Linked DNA regions of Mus musculus: all the other regions are reported to be linked to region 1. The links are microRNA targets in miRTarBase. Many come from high-throughput screens and were not tested one by one. Region 1 holds a microRNA gene; each other region holds the end of a gene's coding sequence.
Evidence for each region. Region 1 holds the annotated microRNA mmu-miR-339-5p (UCCCUGUCCUCCAGGAGCUCACG, at 2,082-2,104, opposite strand). A microRNA usually pairs through its seed, bases 2 to 8, with sites in the 3' UTR of a target mRNA and lowers its output. Matches are read on the target gene's strand: a 7mer-m8 pairs with bases 2 to 8, a 7mer-A1 pairs with bases 2 to 7 and ends in A, and an 8mer does both.

Region 1 (4,936 bases):
GGAGCAGGCAGCCTCTGTCCCATGCTAACAGGCAAGGCTTGCTGGGTGACTCTGGAGATTGAGAAGAAAACTGGACCATCTCCCAACAGCCTTGGTAGCTAAATTCAAGACTGCCTGGTGTCCATGACAGGGCACAGCCTGTGTGTGTGTGTGTGTGTGTAGGTTAGCTGGTAAGCTGACCTGGAATTATAAAGCCCAGGCTAGCTAGCGTCCCCTTAGGGGCAATCTTGCCTCAGGCTCCCTGAGTTCTGGATGTTGAGAAGAGTCCTGGCCAGGCATTCTGAGCCACACTGGTAAGGGGAGTCTGGCCTGCTTGTGCCTGTTGCTGGTGAGGAGGCTTAACTCTACCATCTGTAAGCAGGGGCATCCTGGTGAGTGGGTGTTTTCTGCCAGCTCAAAGACTCCAGGCGGCACTTTCTCCCTTGCCCTCACCAGGCTGTGTGTAAACCCAGGACCAACCTTGAACCAGGGCAACTGCGTGGGCCTGCTTCTCTTGTTTGTTCCCCAGGTTTAATCAGGAAGCCCTGGTTGAACCTTACTGTTTTTGAAGCCTCAGGCGCTGAGGAGGCACACAAAGGTGGGTGCTGCAGCAAACCGCAGCTTCAAGCACCCCACCACTGCCCCTCCCTTGGGTCCCATGGGGGTAAAAGAGGCCTTCTGTGTAGGAGGAAGGGCAAGGGCCCACTGTCCTTCCCCAATGAAGTTCACAGGGCAGAGAGATGTTCTCCTTCTCCACACAGCTAGAAGGAGCTGCTGGCCCTGGCCAGGGCATCACCTGTGCTGGGGCAGTATGACTGGGGATATTCTCTTAATAGGGATTTGTGCTGTCCTGGGGAGGCAGTCAATGCCCAGCGTTTTTGAGCATCCACTGGGCTCAAAAACATCTTGTTCAAACGTTCTTGGAATTGTGGAGGAGGTTGGTGAATATGTCCTGAGGATTGAAAGTCCAAGGCTAGCTTGAGCTTAGCAAGTCTGTCTCAAACATAAACAAAAACCCCTCAAAGGTTAGTTGTAGACCTTGGCAGTAGAGGCCCTGGTAGCCAGTGCCAGACACACAGCTCTGTAGGACCTTCTTTCTTGGAATGACTGAGTCAGGTGTAAGGATGAACACAGGTGAGGGTAGAAGGACCCTCTGTTGTCCCCACCCCATCATGTGACCAGAGCAGCTGTACTGGGGGCGCAGCTGAGTGGCAGGGAATCCAGTCATTTGACCCGCTTCACACAGGACAGAGTCCCAAGGGCACAGCAGATGGTCGATGGAGCCCAGCACCTGGCCTGTCTATCACATACCCAGGTGGTGCCTCCAAGGCTGGGGCATGGTCTCTGGTCCCTACCACCCCTATACCTGTTCCCCAGACATTGGGAATGGCCTACAAGTGACAGCGATGTTTGTGGGGGGAGACCACGAAGCCTGCTGAGGCTGACGAGCTGGGTGCCAAGGCCAGTGGACTCTGTTCTCATTCCCCAGCCCAGAATCAGCCCTCCTCCATTCAGTTGGAGCCAGCCCGAGTCCAGGGTCCCACAGAGGTGTTCGACCTTGAGAGCCCATTCCGGTTCACAGACCTCAGCAGACTGCTGCCCGGCTATGCACTCACTCGGTAGCAAGATTTCCAGAAGACAAAGCAAAAGCACAACAACATAATGAAGAGAGGGGAGAGAGTTTGTTTTAAAGGAAGCTTTTTATTTGGAGGTAATTACTGAAACACAGTGGATGTAGAAGTGACCCAGGGACACCAACTGCCAGGACATAGGTCACACGCAGTAGAATCAACTGGTGCTACAGAGGACACACACAGAGGGAGAGACCTGGAAGGCTCCCTCCTGGCTCCTCTCCCCTCCCCCTCAGTGTCTGCGTAGGTTAAGATGATTAGGACCCCAGAGGGGTCAGTGCCTTGCGTCACCGCACAGAGAAACCAGAGTCCCCTCCATCCACGGAACAACCTGCAGATCTGCACAATCGAGTTCAAGAAGGTACAGCATGAACAGCCAGCGACTGAGCACCCTGGTCTGCAGGCAAGGGTCTGTGGACAGTGCAGGGGTGGACACCGGCTCTGTCGCCGAGGCGCTCACAGGCAGGCATACGTGAGCTCCTGGAGGACAGGGATAGTGGCCACCCCGTCCAGCTCTGCACAGCTGTGCTCTCACCACCTTGGTGCCAAGGCAAGGGTCACACCCACCTAGGGATCCCCTTCTAGATATGACTTTTCAAATGCACAAAATGTCACTTAAGCCCCATGCTTGAAAAAGACAAAGATGACAGATGCGGCACCCTGCCTCCTCAGTGACCTGAATGGCGGAAGTGAGCAGCAGATCTGATGTATCCCTGAGAAACAGGAGACTGGGCCATCACCAGCTGCCACAGGACACACGAATCCCCAGAGGTGATGTTGTCACCGCCACCAAGCCCAGGCTCTGTCCAGGCCACAGGTCCTTCTGCAGTCACGGCAGAAACACCCTGTGTCACTTACTTGGGGGTTAAACACAGGCTAAAGCCTAAGTCTTGACCTCAGGCTGCCCAGAGAATTAACTTTCTCACAGACTCCAGCACAGACCACAAGGCCTCTAGGCTGTGAGTCCCCGACTATACATCGGTTTTCTTGGCTCTCTGGCCTCAGCTCACCTGACTCAGGCTGACTGGCCCCACCAACAAGGTTATGAAGGTCCCATGGGTTTTCTAGGTCTAACCTCTCCCACTGCTATCTCACATGTCCCCAGTTCCAACACAGGAGCAGACAGACCCCAGGAGCTTGAACAGGGTGCAGATTTCCTTGACTAGGCTGAGGGGCTGGCTCCAGAAGATAAAACTTCCGTCCCTTTGCCTGCAGATCACAGGAACTGGTCCCAGCAGCTCTGGCACAAGTTTAAGTGGGAAGCCCAACTCGGCCATCAGTGAAGCTCCTGGTCCAAGAGCAAGGACAGAGTCAGCCCCTGCCACCTGAATCACGGGCGTGAGGGCGACACACACAACAAGCTCCCACCTAGGTCTACTCAGAAATGGCAGAAAGCAGCCAACAGGCAGGGAAGAGGGCCCTGCAGCGGGGGAGATGGGGAGGTCTCTAATCAGACCCCTGCAGTAGGAGACCCTGAAGTGAAGGAGAGGGAGGGGCTTGCATCTATAACTGAGCATTCCCAGGCCAGGAAAAGCCTGCTGACACAAGAACCTGTGTACTGTGCAGAGCCTGCGCTGCGTCCCTGAGCCGAGCGAGACTCAGTCTCATTTCAGCTGCAGTCTGCCTCCTTCGCCCTAGCTGGAGGCCTTCTTTCTAGCCAGGGCCAGGTACCCACATCCCCTTCTCTAGAGCTTCCCGGCATGCCCACCACCCAGGGATGCTTGTTCTAGCCTGGTTTCCACGTGCCCCACTCCCAATTCTATTTGAGTGTGCCGGTAATCAAAATGCTTTTGATTTTGGCTTCCTCTGGTAGAGCAGCTGTGTTCACACATCCCAAACTGCCTAGTGGACCCCCAAGTGACATTAAGGTCATGGAAGCTTTCTTGCTGTGGCCAAGGAAAGGCCATTTCTCCTGCTACAACGGGCCCAGCAACCACCCTGCAAGCAAGGTCAGATGTCTCTGCTCACCTGGGTAAGTGACTCCCTAGCAATCCAAAACTCCCCACCCCCCTTTTTTTAAAACAGCAGAAATGTGAAGACAGCTCTGAGCCAACGAGGGCAGAGATGACCAGAACAAACACTGGGGCACAAACAACACTCGCAGGATCCTCTATAGTTCCTACTTTTTGTGCTGATCTTGCTATTATAATGCAGAGCGGATTTCTAAAGCTTGAAAAGCCCACTAAGCAAAGTGTGGGAGTCATCCAAGGTGCGGGTGCAAGCAGCTACAACTGGGCAGAAAATGGGGTCTCCCAGGGAAAAAAAAAAAACCAAACAAACAATTATGTACTGTCAAAGACTATCAGCCACCAGGCTTCCACATTAGCTGAGCAGCCTGCGATCCTATTTCTCCTGCGAGTGTCAGCCTGTGAGCACAGCCTGCCAAGTTCTCACCTCCAGACCCTAACTATACCACCTTCCCCACAGACTTTAAGGAGTTCCTGCAGGAAGGCTGACCTGGGAGCAATTGAGAAGGCCTGCAACAAAGTCTGCCTCTTGGGAGGTGGAAAAAAACAAAACAAAACACAAAAACCCAGGCTAGTGGAGCAGGCAAGAATGAAATCAACATTACACAGGGACTTCATTAAGTGCCATAAAGTTTGTTGTTATGCCCCTCCCACTGTTCACAAGCAGTTTTTTGGGTCAGGGCTCTGCACACACCGCGGACACCCAGGAGGGTCCTCCTGGGTGTCCATGTTAACCTGGCAAGTTAACCTGGCATGTTAACCTGGCAAGCGGTCTCAAAGCCTAAGACTCAAAGTCTAATAAGACTATGAGCGGGGCCCAGGCTATGGGCTCAGGGGTGGGAAGGCAGGCAGCGGTGCGAAGGGACACCTGGACGACCTCGCGTGGCTACAGAGCGAGGCCACCACCGATGCCTCGGGGTCACCTGGCGCCGCCCGCGCCTGGCCACGCACTGACCTCGCTCGTAGGCAGCGGGGAGTTGTTGGCGCGAACTGCCGAGACCCAGGACGCTTCACAGCAGCGAGTCGGGACTGGGGCGGAACCAGATCTAGCCGGCTGGACAGTGACGCAGGCGCGCCTGCGCCCTCGGCGTGTGGGCGTGGCCTCTGCCGGGACACGTGCCTGAACCAAGGGGGATTATTGTATGTAGGGGGCGTGGTTGGCCGCATCCTTGTTTAACCTAGGCTGTGGCTGGGGTGTGTGCTCTTGCCAAGCCACCCTCCAGCTTGCCGCGGACTTGTATTCCATAGATCCGGACACGGAATTAGGAGAGGCCCCCAGCGGTTGGGAGCACTTACTGATCTTACAAAAGGCCGGTTGGGTTCCCAGAACCCACAAACACCATCATTTCCATTTCCAGA
Region 2 (4,936 bases), not on the chromosome of region 1:
GCAAACTGAGGCCCACTGAGTCTCAACAGCCTGTCAGGGTTTCAGAAGTGGACACTTGAAACATTGGGCTTTTCAATGTAAGGAGGGAGGTTTGCTGTTTTGTTTTGAAACAAATGTTTCTATGTTGCCCTGCTGCCTTCAAACCTCTTGATTCAGTCTCTCGAGCATCTGGGACTATATATAAGGGCTTGTTTTGTGTGAGGGCATGAGAAGTGTGTGTGTGTGTGTGTGTGTGTGTGTGTGTGTGTGTGTGTGTGTGTGTGTGTGTTATTTAATTGTTCCTGTATGTTATTTATATTCTTGTTGCATAGTATATTTGACAGTATAAAGCCCAAAGCTAGCAGAGGTCATACCCTTGGGTGCCTAGACACATGGCCCTTAGCATCCTTGAATGTAAGAGGACTGGATGATAGTGGAGTGAAGGCAGCAAGCGTGAAGACCCCTGTGCCCGGAAGAACCCTGTCTTCCTAGCACTGGCTATGAGGTGGGAGCTTCTACCTCAGGTCATAGAGCTAGTGAGGGTAGAGCAAGGACTCAGATCCAGGCTGGTGGCTTCCTGTGCTTTTAAGTGTCCCACGCTCCTTATTATATGGGATGGCTGGAATCTCTCTAAGACCTACTCCTTCCACTACAAGGTCAGTGCAGAGGTGGGTGTGGAGTCAAAGCCGCTGGCCACAGCCTCCTCACATAAAGGGCATCAGCATGAGGAGGCTGTTCCTACTTCCCAGCCTGCAAGTCTCCATCTGAAGGTGAGTAAGACCACCCAGAGCAGAGTGTAGCCAGTGTCCCCTAGCAAAGCCCAGAGAGAGGGAGAGGGCAGGCCAAACAAGGAGTAAGGGACTCTTCTCAAAGCTGGACCACCAAGCTGAGATCCAAACCCTCTCCAAAGTCTGCGAGGGGCCTGCCGTGGGACTAGCTGCCCCTGCCTCATGCCTATGCCCCTTTGCAACAGCACACTCAACTGGAGAGGGAGCAGGATGAAGAGAGAGGTCTGGAAAAGTCATCTGGGAGGCCACGGAACACCAACAGATCCAAATCTCATTGTCTAGATGGGAAAACAAGGCCCAAAGCCAGGTGGGGCCCACAGCCAGTGTGTACTGGGTCAGGAAGAATAATGGGAAAGGAATGTATAATGAACAAAGCTGAAAGCCCAAGGCCCCATAGGTGCTGTGACTCCCACCCCACCCATACTGGCTGCTTCCTTCCTTCCTGCACCGAAACCTGGCTTTCTCCTCCAGAGATGCCCTAACCTCTCTTCCACACTTGTCCTCTACAATCCCCTGGGCCTGGCCTCAGGCTCCCCGGCCTAACTTCTCTGACCTCATCCCCTCCTGCCCTTCACCATCTTTGCACTGCAGCCCAGTGACTCCTCCAGCCTCCCAGTCATGGGCTATGCACTGGCTTCACCTTCAGCCTGCCAGGCTCTTCCCTCAGGATCCACATGGCTCACTGTGTCATCCCTGCATCTTCCCACTGCCTTAGCATCATGTCTCACACACCATGAATTGTACAGGAATATAAACTACAGGAGGCCGAGGATGTCCTTGTGTCTCTAGCCCTTTTAAGCTCAGTGGTGTCTGCCCTGGTGTAGACTTTCAGCCAGTATCAACTGAGAATAGAGACAACTGATCTGTGGATGGGGTCAAGGCTCTTGTGACCTGACACTGAGACCAGAAACTGCAAGGAGCCAATCAGGCCTGGGATCCCAGCAGGAGGGTTAACAGTTAGAGGCTAGCCTTGGATACAGAAAGAGACCGAATCTCAAAACAACAAACAAAAAACTTATTTCCAGTGTGATGGCTCAGCAGGTTAGGACACCTACATGGATAGGGGGAAAGAATCAATAAACTCAGGCTATCGTGTGGCTCTCAATTCTAGTAAAGGACACTTGCTAGACACCACATTGCTCTGTCTGCACTTCTGAAAATTGATCTCTGACCTGACTGGCAAGAATATCTGTGATCTTTTCGCTGATCCTAGAACCCTTGGGGCAATGCCTCTCCCTCTTGCTTAGCTCATTCCCCACCCAGCAACACACACACATACACACACAAACACACACGAATGTACACGTGCACACATGTGCACACAAGCACACATAGGCATACATGCACACACAGACACACACGTACATACACACGTGCAGGCACTGCAGCCCCCAGATGCAAAGGCCCAGCCTCTTGCATCATGCATTCCCAGGGCCTGCACACAGTAAGGGCTCAGCAGCTGGAGACAGTAACAGAAGGACAGAGGGATGCTGTCTTCTGAATCCAGACTGACGCCACCAACAGCTGGTCCTCCGAACCTTCCCTCCAGCTCAGGAGGCTTTTTCCTGTCCCTTACCCTGTTTGAAAGATTTGCCTGCTTGCTTCCTCCTTCCCACCTCTGGAATCAGTTCCTCCTAGTGACTGGAAGGAAGAAATTAGAAGCCAACCCTTAAAAGCTTTCACCCCATACCAAGCAATACAAAAAAATGATTCTGGAAATGGGTTTCAAGCACTTTTCAGCCAAGTATGGTGGTGCAGGCCTTTAATCCCAGCACTCATAAGGCAGAGGTGGATGTATCTATGTGAGTTTCAGGCTAGCCTGACCTACATAGCAGAGTTCCAGGTCAGCCAGAGTAATGGTGAGAGCCTGTCAAAAGAGGAAAAAAAAGCAGAAGGGGAAAAAAGGAAGAAAAGGAAAAGGAGAAATATACACATATGTACACACACACACATACTTATCACAGATGGAAGACACACAGTACATATGTGGTATTAAAATTTTTAATTAAGAAAAAATTTGGGCCGGGCAGTGGTGGCGCACGCCTTTAATCCCAGCACTTGGGAGGCAGAGGCAGGCGGATTTCTGAGTTCGAGGCCAGCCTAGTCTACAAAGTGAGTTCCAGGACAGCCAGGGCTACACCGAGAAACCCTGTCTTGAAAAACCAAAAAAAGAAAAAAAAAAAGAAAGGAAGGAAGGAAGGAAGGAAGGAAGGAAGGAAGGAAGGAAAGAAAGAAGAAAGAAAGAAAGAAAGAAAGAAAGAAAGAAAGAAAGAAAGAAAGAAAGAAAGAAAGAGAGAAAGAAAGAGAAAAGACAAGAAAAGAAAAAACTGGGGAGCTGGGATTTAAGTTAGTTATGGATATTACCTAGCATACACAAGGCCTTGGGTTTGATCCCAGCACCACATATAAACTGGGAATGGTGGTGCGCACCTGTAATCCCAGAACTCAGGAGGTGGAGGCCAGACAATCCAGAGTTCATGGCTAAACTTAGTTATATAAGAGTTCCAGTCAAGGCTAGCCTGGGCTACATAATTTTAAGAAAAACAGGGGTGGAGAACTACAAGGCCACTGAGGAAGTCATTAACAAAAAAAAAAAAAAAAAGTTGAGGAATTCTGATGTAAACTCTTAGCCTTACCTTCTCTGGCTCAAAACTAGAGGAAGGGAGAAGCCAGGAGATCCTGTACTCCTATCCAGAAAACCGTCAAAGACCCCCAAATCTGATCTCCCATCAGCTACCTCCGGTCTTTTTCTCACTGTTCCCCCAACACACATACTGATGCACGAAAGCCCTTTATATCACTCACCCTGAGCCCCCAAAGTAGACATTCCCCCTTGACACCCCACCTCCTAGAACTGGAAAGAGCTGGAGTCTTCTGACCCTATGCTCTAGTCCTCAGAAAAGAGCCCAGAATCACCCTGGAATATGCCAAGCAGGGTAGTAAATGCCTGTATCCCCAGCACTCAGGAGAAAGAGGCAAGAAGATCACAAGTTCAAGGCCAGCCTGCTCTCCACGACAAGTACCAGGCTGGAATAACTCAGAAGCTCCCAGAAAAACCTAGGAGGGAGTTCAGCTGCAGGAGATCCCAAGGAGTGGGGGACCGCTGATAGGTGGTGTGCTTTATTGCAGTACGGTTGTGGTCAAAGAGAAGCTCTACTTAGAAGTGCTCTAGAGGCACAGAGCCACTTATGTTTGCAGAAGCTGCATTCTTGTATGATGCAGTTACCTTCTGGTCTCTTGCTGTAAAATTCTCCAGTCTCTGAGGATCCTGTGGTATGCTGGGGTGAATTAAACCCAGGTATACAATACCACCTAGGTAGGCGCCCAGAAGTGGTGCCACCACCGGCACCCACCACCAGTTGTTTCCGGCTCTGCAGACAAAAAGAAGGAGGCCTGCTGAGGTTACCGATGCCCGGGATACCTCTTGTATCCAGCTCAGACCAACAGAGGGAGACCATTTACCCTAAGGGACTCTTGTCCTTAGCCTGATCGGGGACACAGTTGACGGTCCAATATCAGGATCTGCAACTGAAGATCTTTGGGGCCCCTCCTCCTCCCAGACCACGTGGAGACTTCATAAGACTTCTGTGCACCCCAACAGTTCACTCCTCTGCAGACGGGGACCCCAAAAAGCTGACGGGAGTGGGGTCCGGCAGGGGTTGTACCTGAACACTTGTTTGCCCCAGCCAGCAATGAAAGTGAACAACCGGGGAGGCAGGTCACGGGATGGGTTGATTGCATATCCGGAGTTCATGCCTAGCGACACCCCAAGGACGGTAACAAGGATGCCTATCACGAGGGGCTCGGTCCCTTGAAGTGCTGGACTGTTCTTCTTGTCGGTGATGGCGAAGAGACACAGCTGCAGCATCCCAGTCACGAATGCCTGGGGAGTAAATGCCAGAGCAGCCCACTGGGGACAAGTCCCAGTCACTCAGCAGGACCCCAGATCTGCAGTGGCAGAGATGTGTCTTGGTACGATCCCATGCAGAATTCTTCTGCTCTCTTTCTCATGCGGGACTTGAGGTGGGAATTCCCTGGCCACTGACCTCATCCAGGAAGCCCCGCCACAGTGTCATGTATTCAGGAAGATAGGTGGCAAAAATGTTTGCAGTGGCCTTGGAACCTGTCACCAACAGGTCTCCGCCTGCAAAGTGGTTAATGGCACCTGT
Region 3 (4,936 bases), not on the chromosome of region 1:
GGTTTCCATGGGTAATTACACTCATGTGTACATACCTCCCCAACCCACCCCCATTCAACACAAAAATAAAAATCTTAAAAGTGGGGAAGGGGCATGGCTGGAGAGCGCGCTCGGCAGGTAAGGTGCTGAGTGTGCCCCAGTGCTCTTGTACAAAGCTGAGCATGGCAGTATCCAGCCTGGGGAAGCAGAGAAAAAAGCACCCTGGGACTGATGGTCTGCTAGCCCAGCCTAACCAGCGAGCCCTGGAACAGTAAGAGGCCTGCACCTGCACACATGTGAGCACGTTATGTGTGCACCCCCAAACTACTGTCATTTGTCCTAAAGAAGAAAGGGACTAGGAAATGGTGATTCAGAATCCACCAGGCAAGAAGTAAGGAGGCAACCATTAGATCTTAACAGTTCAATCAATCAAAGAAAAACTTGAGGGCTGTGGAGTCACCTCAGAAGTTAAAAGTGCACTGGCTGCTCTTGTGGAGGACTGGAGTTTGGTTCCTAGGACCCACGTGGTGGTTCATAACTGTCCCTAAGTCCAGTTCTGAGGGACCTGATGTTCTCTCCTGACCACTGCAGGCACCAGGCACACTCACAATACAGAAGCACAGATTTGGGGACATGCAGACACATAAAACCACCCAAAATCTTTAAAAAGGAAATGGAAACCGTGAAGACATCCTCTTCCCAGAGGCCTCTGGGGCTGTCTGGAGTCTCACCTGAGTGTCCAGCCATTCTCCCCAACCAGGTGTATGTAATTCTGCCCTAACTGTACATCTCGGGGTCTTTGGTGGGGAGGATGAAGGGAGATGGTCCCATCTACACAGCCATGGCAAAAGTCAGCATCCCAGCCCAGCCACACGGCACACATGTGGTGCACACACGTGTAGGCAGACACTCACACACGGCAAAATATAAATGAATAAAGATGTTTTAAAAGACATTAGGCATGGGGAGGCATTTATTTCTCATCCTCCTGGGCTGCACGTACACACAGCATTGATATATACAGCTTGGACAAGTACAATTTATACATTAAATACAGCTCAAGTGTGGATTTTGAATTAACACAGCCAACTTTCTGTACAGTTTGTTTCCTGGTCGGTAACAGCATTACAGTAACACTACTCAGGGTTTCACTGATTCTAATTAGTCAGACTGCAGGGTCAGCTCAAAGGCACTAAGAAGAACTATGGGTTCTAGTATTTTAAGAAAAAGGAAGACAGAGAACAATTATGTATGTTAAGAAGGGGTGGAGGCAAAGCTCAGTGTGGTGGCTGGTGCATAAGTATGATCCCAGCAACTGTTAGATGGAGGTAGGAGGATAAGGAGCTTAAAGGCCAACCTGGGCTACACAGAGGGTTTGTGGCCAGCCTGGACTACATTGGACTCTATTTCAAAATGGAAGAGGGGAGAGAGGAGAAACTGGGCAGACACAGGTGTGTGTAAATGTAAACTCTGCCCATTCCTTAATTCACAGCTCTATAAGGAAAAAAGGTGTTCCTTGTGTTAAGAGTTCAAAGAGAAAAGGGGGATGGGCCACATAAACTTAAAATGGAAATAAAATCGCTGAAACTATAATTATCACTTTAAAACATGTTGCAGATGAAGTAACACTTCCCCCTCTCCTTCCAAACTAACCCTGATGTTCTGGCTGCCAAAAACATAAATTTGAAAATCACCTTTTCCAGAATATAAATGAGACAGCTTACCAGAGGATTCTGGGGGCAAACAGCAGCTGCAGAGCCTTCCTTTAAGCCAAGACTTAAGATCACAGTGGACACTGAGTGGAGAGAGCCTAACTGTCAGGGTATGTAAATGCAAAGCCAGCCATAACACACTATACAGTTCAAATAAATAAATACTACCTTTTAAATCAAAGAAAAAGGGCTATGTATCAATAGCCTATTTATAGATCTGTTCCACTCATGTAAATCTGTACATTTATTTTAAACATTAAGTTTGTCCTACATCTCTATCCATTCATGGAATTAACACTGAAAATGATTCCATTTGCAGATGAAGACAGAGTCCATGAGAAGCAGCCACAGCATGGCTGTGGCAGAAGTGGGCTTCCTACCTTCTTCAACAGACCTCCCCACCTGGTGAGAATCGAATTTGGTTTTTCAGAAAATGAACAATGTCCACCTGATTAGAGTTTTAACATCAATGCTTTAATAAACATATGGCTTGGTATGATAACATGCATCTGCATTCTCAGCACCTGGGAGGCTGAGGCAGAAGGATTACGACGAGTCCCAGGCCAGCCTGGGCTAACACAGAGACCCTGTCTCAAAAAAACAAGCAAGCAAATAAAATTACTAAGTCAAGATGCTTAGAGAAGCTTCTAAATTGTTAGTTTTATGGAGTTACTTGTGTTACTGATTTAACTAGATTTAATTTCTCTCATGTTTTAGCTTAATTCACAGCAGATATTCCTTCTAGGCCAACTGAACTGCTAAATGATAGAAACATGGACTTTTAAAATGAAGGCATATAGATTCTTCTAATTACTAACATGTAAATTTACATCATTGCGAAATTTGACGTCACCAAGATGCTCAGCTCACATGAGCCTTTGCAAGACACACACACACACACACACACAGAGCTCATTGAGTCACAGCAGGCCACACTCACAATAGAAGATGCTGCCGCACGCCATGCTAACACCAGCAGCCTGCACATCCAGGATACTCAGGGCTCTAATTCAGGAGAGCCTAAAACTGTCCGGCCATGTTTTCCACCTCTCGCCAGGGATGCCCCTCTGATCAGTCATCCGCAGCCACACAGAGCAATGTAGCTGTAAGTCAGTATTTATCCAAACTTGTTAAAATCATAGCAATTTAATTTATCCTCACGTGGGAAGTCTCAAAACTTTTGGAATCAATAGCTCAGAGTTGATTGTATAACTTCAAACTTGGGTTTAGGAAGCACATGACCTTCAAAAAATTATATACGTAAACAACAAAACCAAAACTTCTCTATTACAAGTTACCCTACTATACAGTGAGTATTAACGTTTTTATGTAGAGGAATTCCATCTAACTGGATTAATCAATGCAAGAAATCCAGAAGAGTATTTTTATATATAAAATTTATATATACAATAAAGAAAATTAAAAGGTTTTTTTTTTTTTACTTTGTTTCATTTTCTGAAAAATGAGACTGGTCTCATTTTTTATTTTTTTTTTTTATTTTTTTTTTTTTATTTTTTTTTTTTTCTTTTTTCTTTTTTCCGGAGCTGAGGACCGAACCCAGGGCCTTGGGCTTGCTAGGCAAGCACTTTACCACTGAGCTAAATCCCCAACCCCTGGTCTCATTTTTTATAGTTATTTCCATCAAACTTAAAATTCAGACAAGGAAGTGTTTGTAAGCTGTATGTCCAGGGAATGTTTTAGAATGTGTGTGTGAGCAAGGGTAAGTGGCTAATGCTGGCTTCAGGAGAAGTGGGGAGCCAACTTAGTAACAACAATGGCTGAATGTGGAGTCAGAGCTACAGAAGTGGAGGGTGCACAGGCGAGCACACAAACTGCATCTTCAGAATGTAAGCCTGCAGAGCTGTCAGATTTTATAGTTTTCCACAGGAGATCAATCAAGGTAGTCATTGCACACTTAGATGCAGTCAGGATGAGTGTAAAGTTGGACTGCATTTAGACAGGTCAGGCAGGTACAGAATCAAGTCACTGCTTAGATGGGCAGCCCAGACTGGCACAGGACACAGGACACAGGACACAGGACAAGGTGATCTGCTATATGTTGTGTGCAAACAAGACAGACTTGGTTCTAGTCTGAGATTCTGCTTGTCTAGAGCCACGGTAGTTGAATACATAGCTAAGAAACGCACATTCACGTACAACAACGGAACCCTTACTTCCTGCAGAGCAGTGTGACAGACACAGTGCGCCATGCCCAACGACCATGAGCTGCGGCGCACTTACATGTTACAGACACTTAAAGAGTCTAAAAGATATTAGGAAAATTGCTATTTCCAGTCTCTCTCCATGCTTTACAGCTTCCATTATGTGAACCATACAGTTGTCCTCGTGTCTTAATTAAGGAGTTCTCTCCAGGCATGGGACAGCACTCTTTTTATTATTTTAACTTTAATTCTGTACATTTACTGAAGTAAAGAATCAATTACGGTCTCAGGCTTTGCAGAACGCTTTCTGTTAAGAGAAGAAAAAAGTGCAAGGTGAGTGATTTTTCCCAAGAGACTGAACTGGCAGCAGTTCTGTGGCGTGGGTCCACGAATGGACCAACACTGCCCATGATTGACCATGGCAAAGTTTGACTGCTACCCATTTTTTCAGAGTAGGTCACCGAGAGCAAGCACGAGAACACGCACGGCATTCTAGAGTGGTGAGGCGCTGAGCTGAGCGGGGCAGACAAGGTGCAGTAGTCAGGAGGCAGCTAAACTTATCAGGGTGCCCCTTGGTCATCTCCTCCAAGGATGCTAATGGTACAGGCAGCCTCAGAGAAGCAGGAAAAGAAGTCACATTTCCCAGATGCAGAGCCTACAAGAGTATCTATCTCATGGGCCTTCTTTGTTGCTGTCCAGCACAATCAACTGCCTGCCTCTCGTGAAGCACTGCATGTTTCTCATTTCTTAGGAAAACTATAGGTTTGTTTTTCTCCAGGCCTGTTACAGAGTTGAGTTTGCATCGTATGTTGGCCCACAAGAATTTTCTTTACCTTAAGTTAAACAAGAGGCATATATTTTACAGCAGTGCATTACAAAAACTATATCAAAACAGCTTGCCAAATTATTTAAGATCTATACAGTTTTAGAAATGTAGCTGAGTACCCTGGATCCTCTTTTCAAAGACAATAGTCCCGCAATAATGGGGCCTCTGTCCCCAAACTAACAAGAGACAGAACCACCCTCCCAGCTTGCTCCAATGGCCTCCTCTGCCTGTCTCTCTGGGAGGCCAGCCAACCATCT
Region 4 (4,936 bases), not on the chromosome of region 1:
TGTGTGTAGGAGGGTATATATGTAGGTATATGTGTGTGTACACATGTGAGTGCTACCAGCCATCTAATCCTAGCAATTCTCTTATCTCTACCTCCCTCTCGTCCCCAGTTTTGGGGTTACAGGTATGGTACAGGGTCTTGCTCAGCTTTTTACATGGATGCTGGGGATTTGAACTTATGCCCTCAAGCAAGTTCTCTTACCCATTGAGCCATCTTCCCAGTCCAGTAAATGCACCATCATTTTTATCCTCTTACCTAAGAAGAGACACCTTGGTTGCTTCCAGGTTGGGCAATTTTGTGATTGGTTGGGGTTAAATAATCCCAAGAGACTGTTAAGGCTCCATTCTCATCAACTGTTAGAGTCATGCTCCCTCCTGGGATCAAGGTGGTAGATCCCTCATGTTTACAGGACTCGGAGCGTATCAGAGTATCCTCAGAGGACCGAATGGGTGAGTGTATGCATAGTATTCAGGAAATGCCCAGAGGTGGCACTGCTTCTAGGTTTGGCCCATGACAAATGCCAGGGCTCCCTTTCCTCCCCAGGGTGGAGGCCTGTCTCTACCTCCCCACCCACTGCAGGACTGCCCCCGCAGGTCTCTTTCCGATACCATTGCCAGCTGTACTCGGAATGGAGGAAGACAAATCAGAAAGTCCGCCTGAAGATTCGGGAAGCAGATGGCTCCGAGGATCCACATCACTCCTTGCTGGCTACTGGACTCTTAAAAAAGGTGGCAGAGGAGACCCCTGTGTGAAGGCCTGGCTGGCAGGGCTCAGAGGTAGTAGACAGACCAGAGTCAGATGGCAATGCAGCTGGCATTTGGAAAGATGGAGGCTGCCTGACTTTTCATGCACAGCTATGATGCTTCTCAGGCCCGTAGCCACAGCCAGCAGAGCCTGCTCTGTGATCCCGTGTGAACATATTTTCAAGGGTTTTGTTTTGCACATTGTTGTATATGACAAGCACAGATGGACAGATTTGAGCTTTGGATGGAGTAGGCACCTCTGTCTCATTTTGAGATCTGTTTGACACCTTTTGCACAGCAGCTTTAGCGCTGGTGTCAAGGGCGCCCGTTGGACTAGAAGGTTCCAGCAAGCTTCTTGCGTTACTCTGCACCTAGCTGGCTTGCTTTACTGGCACTCTTGACTTATAATCTTATAAAGTTGCACTGCATTTCAAAAACCCACCCCTGAATGAATAAAAGGAGCCCTTGCTGGCTAATATGGACGCATCAGTTATGTTTCTAAGCTGTTCCAAGCGAGTGATTCTGTGGGGGCACAAAGTCTAAAATGCTTGGCTTGTTCTGTGGGGACTGTATGAAGCTTCTTTTCTTCTCTTCTCTTATTGCTATGATAAAGGACCTGAAGTGGAGGGACAGAGATGGCTCAGGGGTGAAGAGCACTGGCTACTCGAGAAAAGGACTGGGGTTTAATTCCTAGTGCTCTTCACAGCTTGTAACGGTCTCCAACTCCAGCTTCAGGGGATCCAGTGCCTCTTTAGGCTCCCATAGACGCTGCTCACATATGGTGCAATACATAAGTGCAGGCAAGATACTCATACACATAAAATACAGTTTTTTTTTAAAAAAAGTAACTTAGCCCTGGGACTAAACCACCACTCAAAGAAAACACGTGGTGGGACTCATGGCTCCAGCTGCATATGTAGCAGAGGATGGCCTAGTGGGTCATCAATGGGAGGAGAGGCCCTTGGTCATGTGAAGGTTCTATGCCCCGGTATAGGGGAATGCCAAGACCAGGAAGCAGGAGTGGGTGGGTTGGGGAGCAGGGGTAGGCGGGAAGGGGATAGGGGATTTTTGGAGAGGAAACTAGGAAAGGGAATAACATTTGAAATGTAAATAAAGCAAATATCTAATTTAAAAAAGTAATGTAAGGGAGAAAGCACTTAGTTTTAGCTCACAGCTACAGGTACAGCCCCTCATGGTAGGGAAATCAAGGCATAATTAAGTTGGGTATTTCTATATCAATCAGTACAATCAAGATGATCCCCATAGTCATCCCCCGAGAGGTTCATCTCACAGGGGACTCTAGATTCTGTCAAGTTGACAGTTAAATCTAACCAGCATGGAAGCCTAAAGAAAAAATAAAGTCAGAGTTGTTGTTTTTGTATTTTTTTTTTTAAATAAAGACTAGGATTCAGGACCTTGGGAGACAACTCAGTAGTTAGAGGGCTTGCTACACAAACATGAAAATTTCCCATCTCTATAACCTATATAGATCAGTAGTGTGTGTGTTTCTGTCCTCTAGGAAATCCTAGTAGCAAGCTGGCTAGCTAAACTAACCATATGGGCAAAGCTCTAAGTACAGTTGAGACACCTTGCCTTAATGTATAAGGGGGAGAAGATGAGTGAAGACACCAACATTAGCCTCTGGCCTCTGCATGCACATGCACAGGTTTGAACAGGCATGCACTTGCACATATATGAGGGAAAAAAATAAAAGAACAAGAAATGAGGTTAGCTTATTTTTTATTATCATGTTAAAATGTATAATAATAATAATAACTATTATTATTATTATTATTGTTATTTTGCTGGAAGAGGTCAGAAGAAACCTTACTAGTAGAGCAGAGTCTCTCCTACCTTCATGTGGGCTCCAGGGATCACACTCAGGCTATCAGGTTTGCACAAGTGCTCTCATCCATTGACAACCCACCCCCCACCCCCGCCACTGGCCTGGGCAGGATTTATGGTGAATGATCTTTTAAAAATATTTTGTAAAGATTTTATTCTTGTGTAAAAGTGTTTTGTTTTCCCTGCATATAAGTGAGTGTTCCATGTGTATGCAGTGCTCAAGGAAGCCAGAAGAGGCCAAGAGATTCCTTGGAACTAGATGGAGTTAGAGATGGTTGTTAGTTGACATGTGGCTGCTAGAAACAAAACCTCTGTCTTCTAGAAGAACAGCAAGTGCTTTTAACCACTGAATCATCTCTCTGGCTACAATAAATGATTTTTTAAAAGTTATATTAAGCTGGGTATGGTGGCGCACGCCTTTAATCCCAGCACTCGGGAGGCAGAGGCAGGCAGATTTCTGAGTTCAAGGCCGGCCTGGTCTACAAAGTAAGTTTCAGGACAGCCAGGGCTATACAGAGAAACCCTGTCTCGAAAAAAAACCAAAAAAAAAAAAAAAAAAAAAAAACCACCAAAAACCAAAACAAACAAACAAAAAAGTTATTTTAGCTGGTGATATAGTTCAGTGATTGAATATTTGAATAACAAAGACAAAGTTCTGGGTTAGATTCCCAGGATCATTAAATAAATTAAGTTTTTAATATAATTTTAGTGCACACATACACAGAAACACACACACAGTCTCTGAGTAGCTCTGGCAGGCTAGAATTCAAAGAGATCCTCTTGCTTCTGTCTTCTGAGTGCTGTAATTACTAAAGGTATGCATCACCATGCCTGGCAATACATATATTCTCTCTGTCTCTCTCTCTGTCTCTCTCCCTATGTATATAATATATATATGTTATTTATATATACATATATATTTTTAAATGCTACTGGGGATTGAATTTGAGCTTCACATAGTCTAGGTAAATGATCTACCATGGAGTGATATACTCAGCAACAAATGACTTTAAGAGTAAACCAAGTTGGGGGTGGGTGTGTGTGCTGAAGAAATGGCTCAGTGGTTAAGAGCACTGGACTGCTCTTTTATTGAAGAGGACCTGGGTTTGATTCTCAGGATCCATGTAATGGCTCACAACCATCTGTATCTCTAGTATCAGGGGATCCAACTGATACCAAGGATACACATGGTACCAAGACACACAGGTAGGCAAAACACCTGTACACATAAAATAAATCACAAAGGGCCTTTTGTGGTGGTGCATATCTTTAATCCAGCACACAGATTTAGAGGTAGGCAGGCAGATCTTTGTGAGTTCGAGGGCAGCCTGAAATACATAGCAAATTCCAGACTTCCCATGGCTTCATAATGAGATCATGTCTCAAGGTAAAATAAGCCATGTGTGGTGGCATATACCTTTAGTCCCAGCCAAGAGGCAGAGGCAGTAGGAGCTCTTTGAGTTCAAGGCTAGCCTGGTCTATATAGGGAATTCCAGAACAGCTTAAATATTTTATCTTAAACAACAGTGACGACAATGGTAACAACAATAAAACAAACAAAAAGCAAATTAATAATAATAATAATAATAATAATAATAATAATAATAATAATAAAAACTTGACAGTATACCAGGGCCATGTATGTAACTCAATTGTACAATCTTAGGATTTTACTGCTGTGAACAGATACTATGACCAAGGCAACTCTTTTTTTTTTTTATTTGTTTGTTTTTCAAGGCAGGGTTTTTCTGTATAGCTTTGGCTGTCCTGGAACTCACTCTGTAGACCATGCTGGCCTTGAACTCAGAAATCCGCCTGCCTCTGCCTCCCAAGTGCTGGGATTAAGGGCATGTGCAACCACTGCCCGGCAAGGCAACTCTTATAAGAACACCATCCAATTTCGGGCTATCTTACAGCTTCAGAGATTCAGTCCATTATCATTAAGGCAAGAGCATGGCAGCATCCAGGGAGGCATGGTGCAGGTGGAGCTGAGAGTTCTGCATCTTCGTCTAAAGGAGGCTAGTGGAAGACTGACTCCCAGGCATCTAGGTCAAGTGCATTAAAGTCCACACCCACAAGCCTACATCTACTCCAACAAGGCCACACCTACAACAGTGCCACTCCACGGGCCAACCATATACAAACCATCATAGGTACAAAATATTTTTATCATGTGGGAAGTCCTGGTTCCATTCCAAAAGGAAAAAGGTAAGAACAATTTTCACATATTTTTTATTTCCAATTTGCCAGATCCCATAAATTCATTATAACTAATGATAATACTCTCTATACCAATCTGGGATTACCATGGATGAGACCCAAATCTGAGCTTGTTTCATATCTCTCCTC
Region 5 (4,936 bases), not on the chromosome of region 1:
TCTCCCCTGGGCCATGATCCCCAAGTGTGTGTGTGTGGAGGGGGCACGTTTTACAGAAATATCCCAGAGACTGGGGGATGAGCAGGGGAGACCTGGATAGTGAGAGGGGCCTGGGAGAGAGTGGAAACCTCAAGATCAGAGGTGGCTAGGAGAGCTAGGGGTGGGACTCTGGCCCAGCATCCATATAGCCCCGGCATCTGTCAGTATCCCCAGGAGGGAGAGACAGTAGTCTCCATGCCTGTCTCCCCAGCACACTTGGGGAAGCTGAGGTAAGAGGGTTAGCCTAGACTAGTAACAAGACTATGTAAAACAAGAAGAAAAAGGGGGCCGGGGGAAGCTTGAAAGGGAAGAGAGGGAAGAGGTTGTCACCATCCTCCAAAGCTGTGAGGATGACTGCTGTGTTTTGAGGTCTTGGTGACTAAGGGTCACCTCCAACTCCAAAGTTATTTTTTTGCTATGACTTAGTGTGTTTACGTGTGTATTTATGAGATATGTGTGACCTTCCTACATATGTAAAATGTGTATTGAGAATAAAAAAGGAGGGCTTCTGCAATGCTGCCTTACCATGGTGCCAGTGTGGTCTGGCCCAGTCATGTTCAAGAGCCAGTGCTCAGTCAGAGCCTTGAGCCTCTGGGTCTCTGTCCAAGAGGACTTAGGAGTGTGACTGCCTATGTGCTGTGAACACAGGTGCTGTGAACACAGGTGCTGTGTATGATACAATAGGTCCATGTGTGAGAGCAGGGATCAGAGGACAACTTAGCATGTAGATCCTAGCCTTCTACTATGAGACAGGGTCTCTTGTTTACCTGAGTCCCTCAGGTCAGCTGTCCAACAGGCTCCAGGGAGTCTCTGGTTTCTGCTTCCCACCTTGCTTGTAGGAGTGCTAGGATTATAGACTAGTGCTGCTGTCCCACTTTATGTGGGCTCTGGGGACTTGAACTCAGGTCTTCATGACTGCAGCAAATATGGCTGACGTGTGTGTTATGAATCAACAGGATGTCCTTGAAGGGCTATCTGGAGTCCCTGCCTCCCAAACTGACCCTGACAAGGGCTGCAGGACCTTGTGGAAGTCTCATGGGAATCAGGGATGCCCATGCTCTGCTGTGGATTTCAGAGTGTAGGGGCACACGACGTACAGGGCCCCACCTCCTTCAGCTACATGGCTCAGGGCTGACTGGGCCTGAGCTGTGTTTCAGAGCAAGGTCCTTAGGCTTCTGGCCGATGCCCATTTGCTGAGCATGATGGAGTATAGCTGATGACTCCAGAGGTAGTTGGGCCAGCCAGTGCTATGCAAGAACTAGAAGCCAGCATGGATTATATTTCTCAGATATTAAATAAATCCGAGCCATGTTGTTGGCAGATTTAGCTACATGGTTACTGTATTCCTGGATCCTTATCTTTTTTGTACTGGCAAAAAAACCCCAGGGTCTTTTGTATAGTAAGTGCTCCACCCTTGAGCCACGCCCCCAGCCCCTCACTGGGGGATTCTAGGCTGGGACTCTACTGCCCCAGTCTAATGTTCCATCTTTGGCCATCAATTTCATCCCCAGTAGCCTGTGTCACATTTACATCTATGAACAGAAAGTTGCACAGAGCACTTGGACAACACACCTGCAATCCTCAGCTCTCTTTCACAAGGATGGGGGGGGGGGCTGGAGAGATGGCTCAGAGTGAAGAGCACCGGCTGCTCCTGCTGATGATCCAGTTGTGCGAGCACCCCATGTGATCATCTGTAAGTCTAGACTAAGGATCTGCTGGCCTCCTCCGGCACTAGGCCTGCACAGTTATGCAAAGCACCCATACACAAAATGCCTTTTTAAAGTAGCAAATAGTGGCCATGCAGTGGTGCTGTACACCTCTAACCCCAGCACCCGGGAGGCAGAGCAGAGAGGCTAGCCTGGTCTACAGAGCAAGTTCCAGGACAGCCAGGGCTACACCGAGAAACCTTATCTAGAAAAATTAAAAACAAAAGTGCTAAGTAGCTTGACCCCGTTCATAGAGTGGGAGGTGGAGCCAGAGTTGAAGAAGTAAGAAGCAGGAGATATTTAAAATTTTATTAAATATACTCTGTTGGCACAAATCTTCAAAATATATAAACATTATATATAAACAAAGTGTCTTTATGGCATCAAAATAGAACTCCAGACTGGACAGTGACCACGGAGGAGGGCAGCCACAGAGCTACTGGACAGTGACCATGGGGGAGGGCAGCCACAGAGCTACTGGGGGGATATGGGGAAGCAAGAAGATCAGGGACCCAGGACACCCTCACTTCTCCTGCCCTGCTGGTTGCCTGATGCAGGGCTCAAGCCAACCATCTACATGGTGCAACCTGCTGAGGTGACCCAGGAGCCTCAGTCACCTCCGGCCTCCTGGTAAGGGATGCCTAGACTCTCCATCCCAGGTGGGGAAGGGAGTGGCAGTACACTCACGAGAGGACAGTCCCTCTCAGCCACCAGAGGCTGCCGGGGGGGGGGGGTGTCTGGGGACATGGTGGGGATGGCCCATCACTATCCGCGGAGGCTGAGAGATGGCCAAGCGTCACAGGCACAAGGTAAGAAATATAGAATGAACAAAGACTGCAGCAAGAATTGCAAATGCCCAGGGCTCGAGCCACCCTGCTCAGGTCCTGCATGTGAGATGGCTGCCATCCAGCTGTGGGAATCAACACCCAGATCACCTCTGAGCCAGAGCCACATTGCATAGGAAGGGTAGGGGTTTTATGTGCAGACCTGGGGCAGGATAAGTTGAAAACTAGAAACTAAAGGTAGGTGGGGCAGTGGTGGCGCACGCCTTTAATCCCAGCACTTGGGAGGCAGAGGCAGGTAGATTTCTGAGTTTGAGGCCAGCCTGGTCTACAGAGTGAGTTCCAGGACAGCCAGGGCTATACAGAAACCCTGTCTCGGGAAAATAAAATGAGAGAGAGAGAGAGAGACAGAGAGAGAGAGACAGAGACAGAGAGAGAGACAGAGACAGAGAGAGAGAGAGAGACAGAGAGAGAGAGAGAGAGAGAGAGAGAGAGAGAGAGAGAGAGAGAGAGAGAGAGAGAGAGAGAGAGGAAGGAAGGGAGAGAAAGAAAAAAAAAGAAAAGAAAAGAGAGTAAAGGCAGGAGGGCTGCTCTAAGTTGAAGGCTAGCCCAGATAACACTCAGAAGCAGGACAGCCAGGGCTTCTGGCTAGGACTGTCTCAAAGACCCTAAATCAAGAACCCCAGACACCAGGAAAGGCAAGAGTTTCCTGTGACACCTAGGGAACCCAGTGTGTGGGGGGGTTCTCCTTGTGTCAGCTGGCTGGTGGTCCCTGGATACCCCAGCCTTTCCCTGCTCCCCAGGTCATGGATACATCTGTACTCATTCACACAGGAAAAGCCACCCACCCATCTTTGGGCTTCATGTGGCCTGGCTAGATGACAGCCACAGAAGGCAGTTTCAAGAGCTTGAGCCCTACCTCCATGGATGCTGTGCATATAAGAAGCTTTGGGCCTGCATTCGGCCTGATTGGTGTACTTTGGAAGACACCCCAGATCAGTGATACCCACATGGGCATTTCCAGTGGGGTCTGAACTTGACACCCCTGTCTGGTGGCCATAGGGCCTCCTGGAAAGGTACAAGCCAGGTAGTTGGCAATGGTCAGGTGCAGCCCTCGGAAATAGGATGGGCACAGTGCTCTGGGGAGAAAGCTATGTGGGCAAGAGCAGCCATTTGTCACCTGGGAGAGGATAGGCAGGCATGGTGGAGGATTGAGGAACACAGGTATAGCCACCACTGAGCAAACTGTGACCCTCCAGTGTGTGGCTTAAAAGGAATTGCTATCACATCTGCAGGCCAGGCACGGTCATAGCAAGAAGGGATGGGCTCTGAGCCCCGGGTGCCAATGGGCACTAGATCAGCAGCAGGTCAGAGGACACAGGGCCAGGAAGTGCAATTGACCCATTAGGGGCCTTTGGGTAACACCTCAGGAGACTCACCAGCCAATAGCAAGGAACTGAAGGGAGGGGACAGCCAAGATCCATCATCACAATGTCACACCCTGAGGACCAGCACTTCGCTATGGGCCCTACAGCCCCAAGTCAGGTCCCGTCCTCCTGCCCACCCTCAAGGTACCACAGGGCTGCGAGCACACAGCTGCATGCCCCTGCTCGAACAGCTCACCATCCACTGTTGTGTTAGCCTAGCTCTGCAGCCGGCGCAGCAGGATCTGCATGAGGTCGAAAGTGGTGAAGCTGATCCCCACGGCAATTGGGCCCTTCAGCCAGTTCATGCTCAGGCCCTTGTAGAGGCCCCGCACCGCGCCCTCCTCACGTACAATGGAGCGTAGTGTGCTCAGGATGGAGCCGTGCTGGTGGCCCGTGACACCTGCTGTCTGCATGCGCCGCCGCACCACGTCCAGAGGGTAGGAGGCCGATTGCCCGATAAGGCCAGCACAGGCCCCGAAGACCATGCGCTCAAAGGGGTAGGGCTGCGGGCGGCCACTGTACTCTGCAGGGCAGAGGGCACATGAGTGCCACACTTGAAGAAACTAAGGCCCCGCTTCCTGGCCACCCTTTCTTAGTTTTGATGCTGGGAATGGGACCCACATCCTAGCCTAACACAACACACACTTTGCAGCAGTGAGACTTACACGGTGGCCCAGGCTATCTATGTAGTAGTTTCCCCTCACCTATTGGGTACAGGTCCCCATTCTGCAGTTTTCAGTGCCCCATCATCTGTGGGGATGAATCCCAAGATTCTCCATGGATGCCTGGACCCTTAGAGTACAGGGCTACACAGACAGTTTCCTCCTACATGGAGGACGTGCCTCTGCCTGACTTTCGTAAGCTAATGAGGACTGTAGCGATGTGCAGGGACAGCTGTGTGAGTGTAGTCTCCATCTTAGTGTCCTGCTAGGGACGTCGGGGCATCTACTGCTCCATCTAGAGCCCTAGCACAGCCCATACC
Region 6 (4,936 bases), not on the chromosome of region 1:
ATGAGTTTCCTTGTAAGAGTGTTTCACCTTCTCGTTAGAGCATCTTGTCTCACCCTTTTCTCATTTTATACCTGAGTTTTCACCTTAGAGAAACACAATATCATTCATTAGACACATATCTACTGACAGCCTTCCCCATGTGCCATGAATATATAAAGTATCTACAAAATACAATGACCCCACACACACCCCAAGAAGCATACAGTCTAATGGTCACACCACTCGATCTAGTGCCCCCATCTGTGTGCATGGTGTTCAGGAAAACCATGGGACTCAAGAGGTAATCTAAAGATGTATTTTATTCCACATGGGGGTGATGAGAGGAAGTGACGTGTGAACCCAGATCTGAACAGCAGTCAGCTGGAAAGCACAGGATGTGCATCCTGGGGGGACCCACAGTTATGACTCCCCCTTCGGAAGGTTCTTAGCCATCTGGAGGCTGAAGGAAGGACAGTGGGGAAGGGGTATGAAAGCAAGAGGAAGTTGGAGAGATGATCCCGAAGGGGCCAGACCTTGCAAGACCGGGCTGGGATTTTAGGTTCAAGGATAAATGCCTGTGAAGAAAAGTGGTGTGATTGGGTTTGTCTGTCCAAAGATTGCCTTGGTGTCTGAGTGGAGAGTGTACCAGGCACAGGAAGGAATGCAGGGCAACAAGTACAGAAGATAGTGCAGTTGCTATGGGAGACAGAAAGATGCCGCCGGCTGGGAGATGAAGTGGAAGGACTTGAAAAACAATAACAAAAATAAATTTGTTTTAAAGAATTGCAGTGGTAGATTTTTTTCACACTCTTGTCTTACAGATAGTCACATTGAAACTAGACAAAACAATTGTGTCATGCAATTATTTTGACCAGGACGGTCTGTCCCTTGTGTGGGCTGTGAGCTGAGATCTAGTGATATTCCCTGCCTTGCCCAGAGCCCAAAGTGATGGACATTGATTTTTCTCTTTCAGGATTTCCTGAGAAGTCTTCCTGCACCTTCCACAGCTTCTGCTCCTGTTAAAGTGATTTCTAGTAGGGAATTCCTGTGTGAGTCTCCAGCCAAATGCCTGTCACTTGGAAAATTTCTGATCCCCGATGAAGATGTAAAAAAGAAGTCACTGGCCGCCAAACAGGAATGGTGTCATAAAGACAGTAACGAGTTGTGCCTGTCCCAAAGCCAAAGTGACTTATTCGCTAGCAACAGAGAGCAGTGGCTGACTATCCCCAGAAAAAGAATCCAATTAGATTTGTGAGACCGATGCCCTTGCTGATCAAAGCACCTGGGAGCTTGTTAGAGATAGATATAAGGCTGAGTCAGAGCCAGCATTTTAACACGGCCCCCAGACAATGCTCACATACTTGAGATCTTGGAAAGACTGAGACCATGTAATGGGGAGTGGGCCATGGTAGCTGCTGGATATTCGAAATGAAGTGATTTTTCAGCAAGTGGGGAGGAAACTCTGATTGGTCAACAGGAACTGGCTCTTCTTAGAAGTTCTCTGCTCAGATGTCATGAAGTCGCACCTATGGTGTGTCGGCCAAAATCAGAGACCGTGTACTTGCAGTTGGCTGTGCAGCCAGAGAGAGAGAGAGAGAGAGTTGGGGGGTATGATGGCTCATGCTCTCTTCCTTACCTACTTCCCAGGAAGCAGTAGCAGAATCCAAAGAGATCTGAGCCCCAGGTAGACAGTTTGGTGCTGGCCTCCTAGGCTCAGCCCCTGGGAGTCCTTGGTCTCCCTTCATGGTTTGGGGTGACTCTCCTGTTCCCTTTCGAATCGAACCCTGCTAATGAGGATACCTCAATAAAGAATTCCTCCTACCTTCTCCCACCAGGGCTCCTGCTAGAACAGGATGCCTGTTCTAGGGGTTTTGCTGCCCCAAGGTGAGGAGTACCCCCTTCTCCTAGGGCTGTGCAGCATGAGCACCAGATACAGGCTGGCAAAACTTTATTACTGTATTCTCATAGAGTATTTCAAGGCATAGTAACTAGACCAGAACCAGGCTAGTCATCTCTGCCTCAGCCAGGGCTGCTCCTCCCACAGAATCAGCCAAATGGATGAAGTTTGTGGGCTGTTGGAAAGCATATGGTTTGCAAATACTGTAAAACCAAACACCACTTTTGGCTTTTATTTACTGTAATGTCTCACATCACCTACTACCAAGCTTGGGCCCACTTTGCCTCAGCTTCCGGCCTCATTTTTCCTCCTTGGCGCCTTCTCTGCCCTTCACCTCCTCCTGATGCACTCTTTCCTCACCTGCTGGGGGGGGGGTGTTAGGGGGGGGGCTCCTACCTTCTCCGGGGGAGGGGTAAGAGTTCTTTCTGTACCACCTGCCCATGTCTCCCCTTGCTGCCCCAATTGATACTACCCCACCCCCACCCCCCACAGTCTCCCTGTCTCCCACCTGCCACCCATCTTCTGACACTGTCTCTGCTTTCCTGTCCCAGGGCTGCAGCTGCATCCCTGAGCCTCCAGGCTATGATCTCTTCCCTCCTGGTCCCTCTCTTTCTCTCTAAAGGGAACCTAGGGATCAGAAGATTGTTGAATCAGAGTCACAAGGGACAGAGTATGTGCCACACTGCAGTGACTCCTGAGTCACAGACTGTTCTTTTGTCTCCCTCACTAACAGATGCCCTCCAGTCCCTCCCTAAAGCAGGAGGGGACAAGGAGACAGCCCCCCTCCCATCACATATGCTTACCACCCCTTTCACCCAGCTCTTCCTTTCCTATCTTAGAACACACACACACACACACACACACACACACACACACACACACACACGACTACACCAACACCCTTGTAAGTACCTTCTGTTCTGACATCTTTACTCCCAGGCTGCCCAAAAGCACTGGGCTTCCTCTCCAGAGTCCCCCTCCCCACCCAGCCAGGCTTCTCTGTGCTCCATTCCCCAGGACACACAATTCTAGTTTAAGGTGACAGAGGGACAGTGGCAGTGGGCTTCCTCTTCCCAGGTGGAGGGAGGATAGGGGAAGGCCTAGCGCTCAAACAGAAGAGGAAACCCATTTCCGTGAAAGCTCCTGTCAGGGTTAGAGTCAGTCTGTCAATTTATCAGTCGATCCACAGTCAGCACTCTTGGCTTCCCTTTCGTCCACTGGCAAAGATGTCCTCAACCACAGAAAATCAGGAGCAAAACCCAATTGAGCTCCACAGAGACACTCTTGTAACCACAGAGTGAGGCTGCTGACACATCCCACATTCTCCGCCAGGGCTTCTCCAAGCACTTCCAAGAATCTAGGCTGCAGCTTTCTCTGCAGCCGAGGAAACAAGTTACATTCAAGTAAGCCACAAGGGCCTGTGGAGAACCTCTGTGGCATCGCTCCGTTCTAACTCTCCTGTCAGCCGTAGGGGAAGAGGATTGCCCAAGGGACAGTCTCTGGTGGAAAGTAAAAGTCCTAGCCAGACATCGGCTAGGCCTGAGCCTGCGTGTCTCTCCCACACCAAGAGGAGCCTCCCGACCACACCCTTGCTGGCGACCTGCTCAGACTTGCCTGGTGCCTGAAGCCCTGCATCTGCTACACCTTAATTCTCAGGGCGCAGCGCCTGCTCTATGCAAAAGAGGGGAGCTACCCTGTAAGTGGACAGAGCCAGGTGAACTACCTAACGTGCCTCGCCAAGCCCAGCCTTGCCCTGTTCATCCATCCCTGGGGTGTGATCTCTGCTGAGCTGCCTGCTCTCTTGGAAAATTCCCAAGCCAGGAAGGAAACGGTGAAAGTTTGAGGGTTGGAAAAGGTCATTTCCCCGCCCTGCTCCCAGCTCCCCACTGCCCTCTCAGGCAGAGAAGAGCTGGCAAAACGGCCCCCTCGCCACCCAAGTTCCTTCTCATGCTGATCAACGAGCCAACCTGCCTGCCAATAAATTACTATTATAAAATGTCGTGTGTAGCCATCGGCATACATATACATGTTTTGTGTACTCGGGCACACATGCACATGTATGCATGTATGTGTCATTATAAAGTTCAGCTTTACCCCCTCGCCCCTCTCTGTCTTGCAGGCGGCTTTGGACGAAAAGCCCCTAAGCCTTGCAGTACGACTCATCGCATCATGGGGGCCACATAGTTGGCAGGGAAGAGACCCAGTTTGTTGTGCAGACGGCCGGTCCACCAAGATGGGTTGGAGCTGTCCAGGACTTCAACCACTTCTCCGCTTCGGAATCCCAGCTCGTCCTCTTCCAGAGCCTCAAAGTCATACAGTGCCCTGGCCCAACGCACCCGCTGTAGGAGAGACAAGAGATGGGAATGAGCTCGGTAGGCTGGTCTTTGGTACGACTATCACACAGAGGAGCCGTGAGCTTCTAGATCTATTCTGAGTCCTCCGAGCCCTTCCCAAAGGCTGACTTTGCAGCAATCTAAAGCAGACCTGATATGCACAGCCCTGGGCACCAAGCTACTGGGCCGTACTACCTTTGCTCTTGATATGGTCTTGTTCTGCTACTGTGGTACAGGGGATGGAAGCTAGGACCTCATATATGTTATGTAAGTGCCCTACCACTGGGTAGGTCCCAAGGCCACGTGTACTGGATCGCAAGGATAAACCTCACGCATCCCCTGCTGCCAGGAGATGGAGAAGAGCGTGAAAGCCCAATAGTCTGAAAATAGCAGCCTGGATGAGCCAGGCTGAGCCCTCTCTGGTGAGACCTCCTCGCCCTCTCTGCTCACTCACCCCTGCTGCCTGGAGTTGTACGGGGTCGGTGTGTCTCCGGTGCATCAGCGTGGCGTTCACCTCACTTCCAAGGCCGCAGTGTCCATCGTTTATGTCCAGGCTGCCCCCACGACGGTCCTAGAGACATGAAGGAGAGGGCCGCTGCAGGATCAGTAGTGGTGACTCTCACAGACTGCCCCAACCCTGTGCCTTGCTTGGGGGTGCTGTCTACTGAGATAACACCCAAGAAGACTTGCTGGCCATCATCACCCTTCATCTTGGAAAACACACAGG

Region 2: the mRNA of Aqp7 is a reported target of mmu-miR-339-5p. Seed matches in the 3' UTR shown: 7mer-m8 at 2,915-2,921.
Region 3: the mRNA of Kif3a is a reported target of mmu-miR-339-5p. Seed matches in the 3' UTR shown: 7mer-m8 at 2,277-2,283.
Region 4: miRTarBase lists Marchf2 as a target of mmu-miR-339-5p. The part of its 3' UTR that is shown has no 7-base or 8-base seed match.
Region 5: the mRNA of Slc25a42 is a reported target of mmu-miR-339-5p. Seed matches in the 3' UTR shown: 7mer-m8 at 3,571-3,577 and 7mer-m8 at 2,896-2,902.
Region 6: miRTarBase lists Grap2 as a target of mmu-miR-339-5p. Seed matches in the 3' UTR shown: 8mer at 2,371-2,378.

What each region holds. Positions count from the first base shown.
Region 1 is chr5:139,367,627-139,372,562 of GRCm38, forward strand. Mir339 (microRNA 339) reads right to left here and starts at 2,119; the gene lies at 2,024-2,119. All of the region lies in intron 2 of 3110082I17Rik (RIKEN cDNA 3110082I17 gene), which reads right to left.
Region 2 is chr4:41,030,322-41,035,257 of GRCm38, forward strand. It overlaps Aqp7 (aquaporin 7), which reads right to left. Exons shown (of 8, transcript NM_007473.4): 6 at 4,814-4,932; 7 at 4,433-4,650; 8 at 2,753-4,138. The coding sequence ends at 3,925. Among named protein-coding and RNA genes, the nearest start is that of Aqp7, 15 kb to the right of the region's middle.
Region 3 is chr11:53,600,235-53,605,170 of GRCm38, reverse strand. Kif3a (kinesin family member 3A) reads right to left here. Exons shown (of 18, transcript NM_008443.4): 18 at 925-4,160. The coding sequence ends at 4,112. Among named protein-coding and RNA genes, the nearest start is that of Il4, 16 kb to the left of the region's middle.
Region 4 is chr17:33,687,810-33,692,745 of GRCm38, reverse strand. It overlaps Marchf2 (membrane associated ring-CH-type finger 2), which reads left to right. Exons shown (of 5, transcript NM_001252480.1): 5 at 593-1,241. The coding sequence ends at 751. Among named protein-coding and RNA genes, the nearest start is that of Hnrnpm, 4.8 kb to the right of the region's middle.
Region 5 is chr8:70,182,300-70,187,235 of GRCm38, forward strand. It overlaps Slc25a42 (solute carrier family 25, member 42), which reads right to left. Exons shown (of 8, transcript NM_001007570.2): 8 at 2,041-4,477. The coding sequence ends at 4,170. It overlaps Tmem161a (transmembrane protein 161A), which reads left to right. Exons shown (of 12, transcript NM_145597.4): 12 at 1-1,382. Among named protein-coding and RNA genes, the nearest start is that of Tmem161a, 12 kb to the left of the region's middle.
Region 6 is chr15:80,647,702-80,652,637 of GRCm38, reverse strand. Grap2 (GRB2-related adaptor protein 2) reads right to left here. Exons shown (of 8, transcript NM_001289442.1): 7 at 4,664-4,780; 8 at 1-4,215. The coding sequence ends at 4,036. Among named protein-coding and RNA genes, the nearest start is that of Mir6957, 4.1 kb to the right of the region's middle.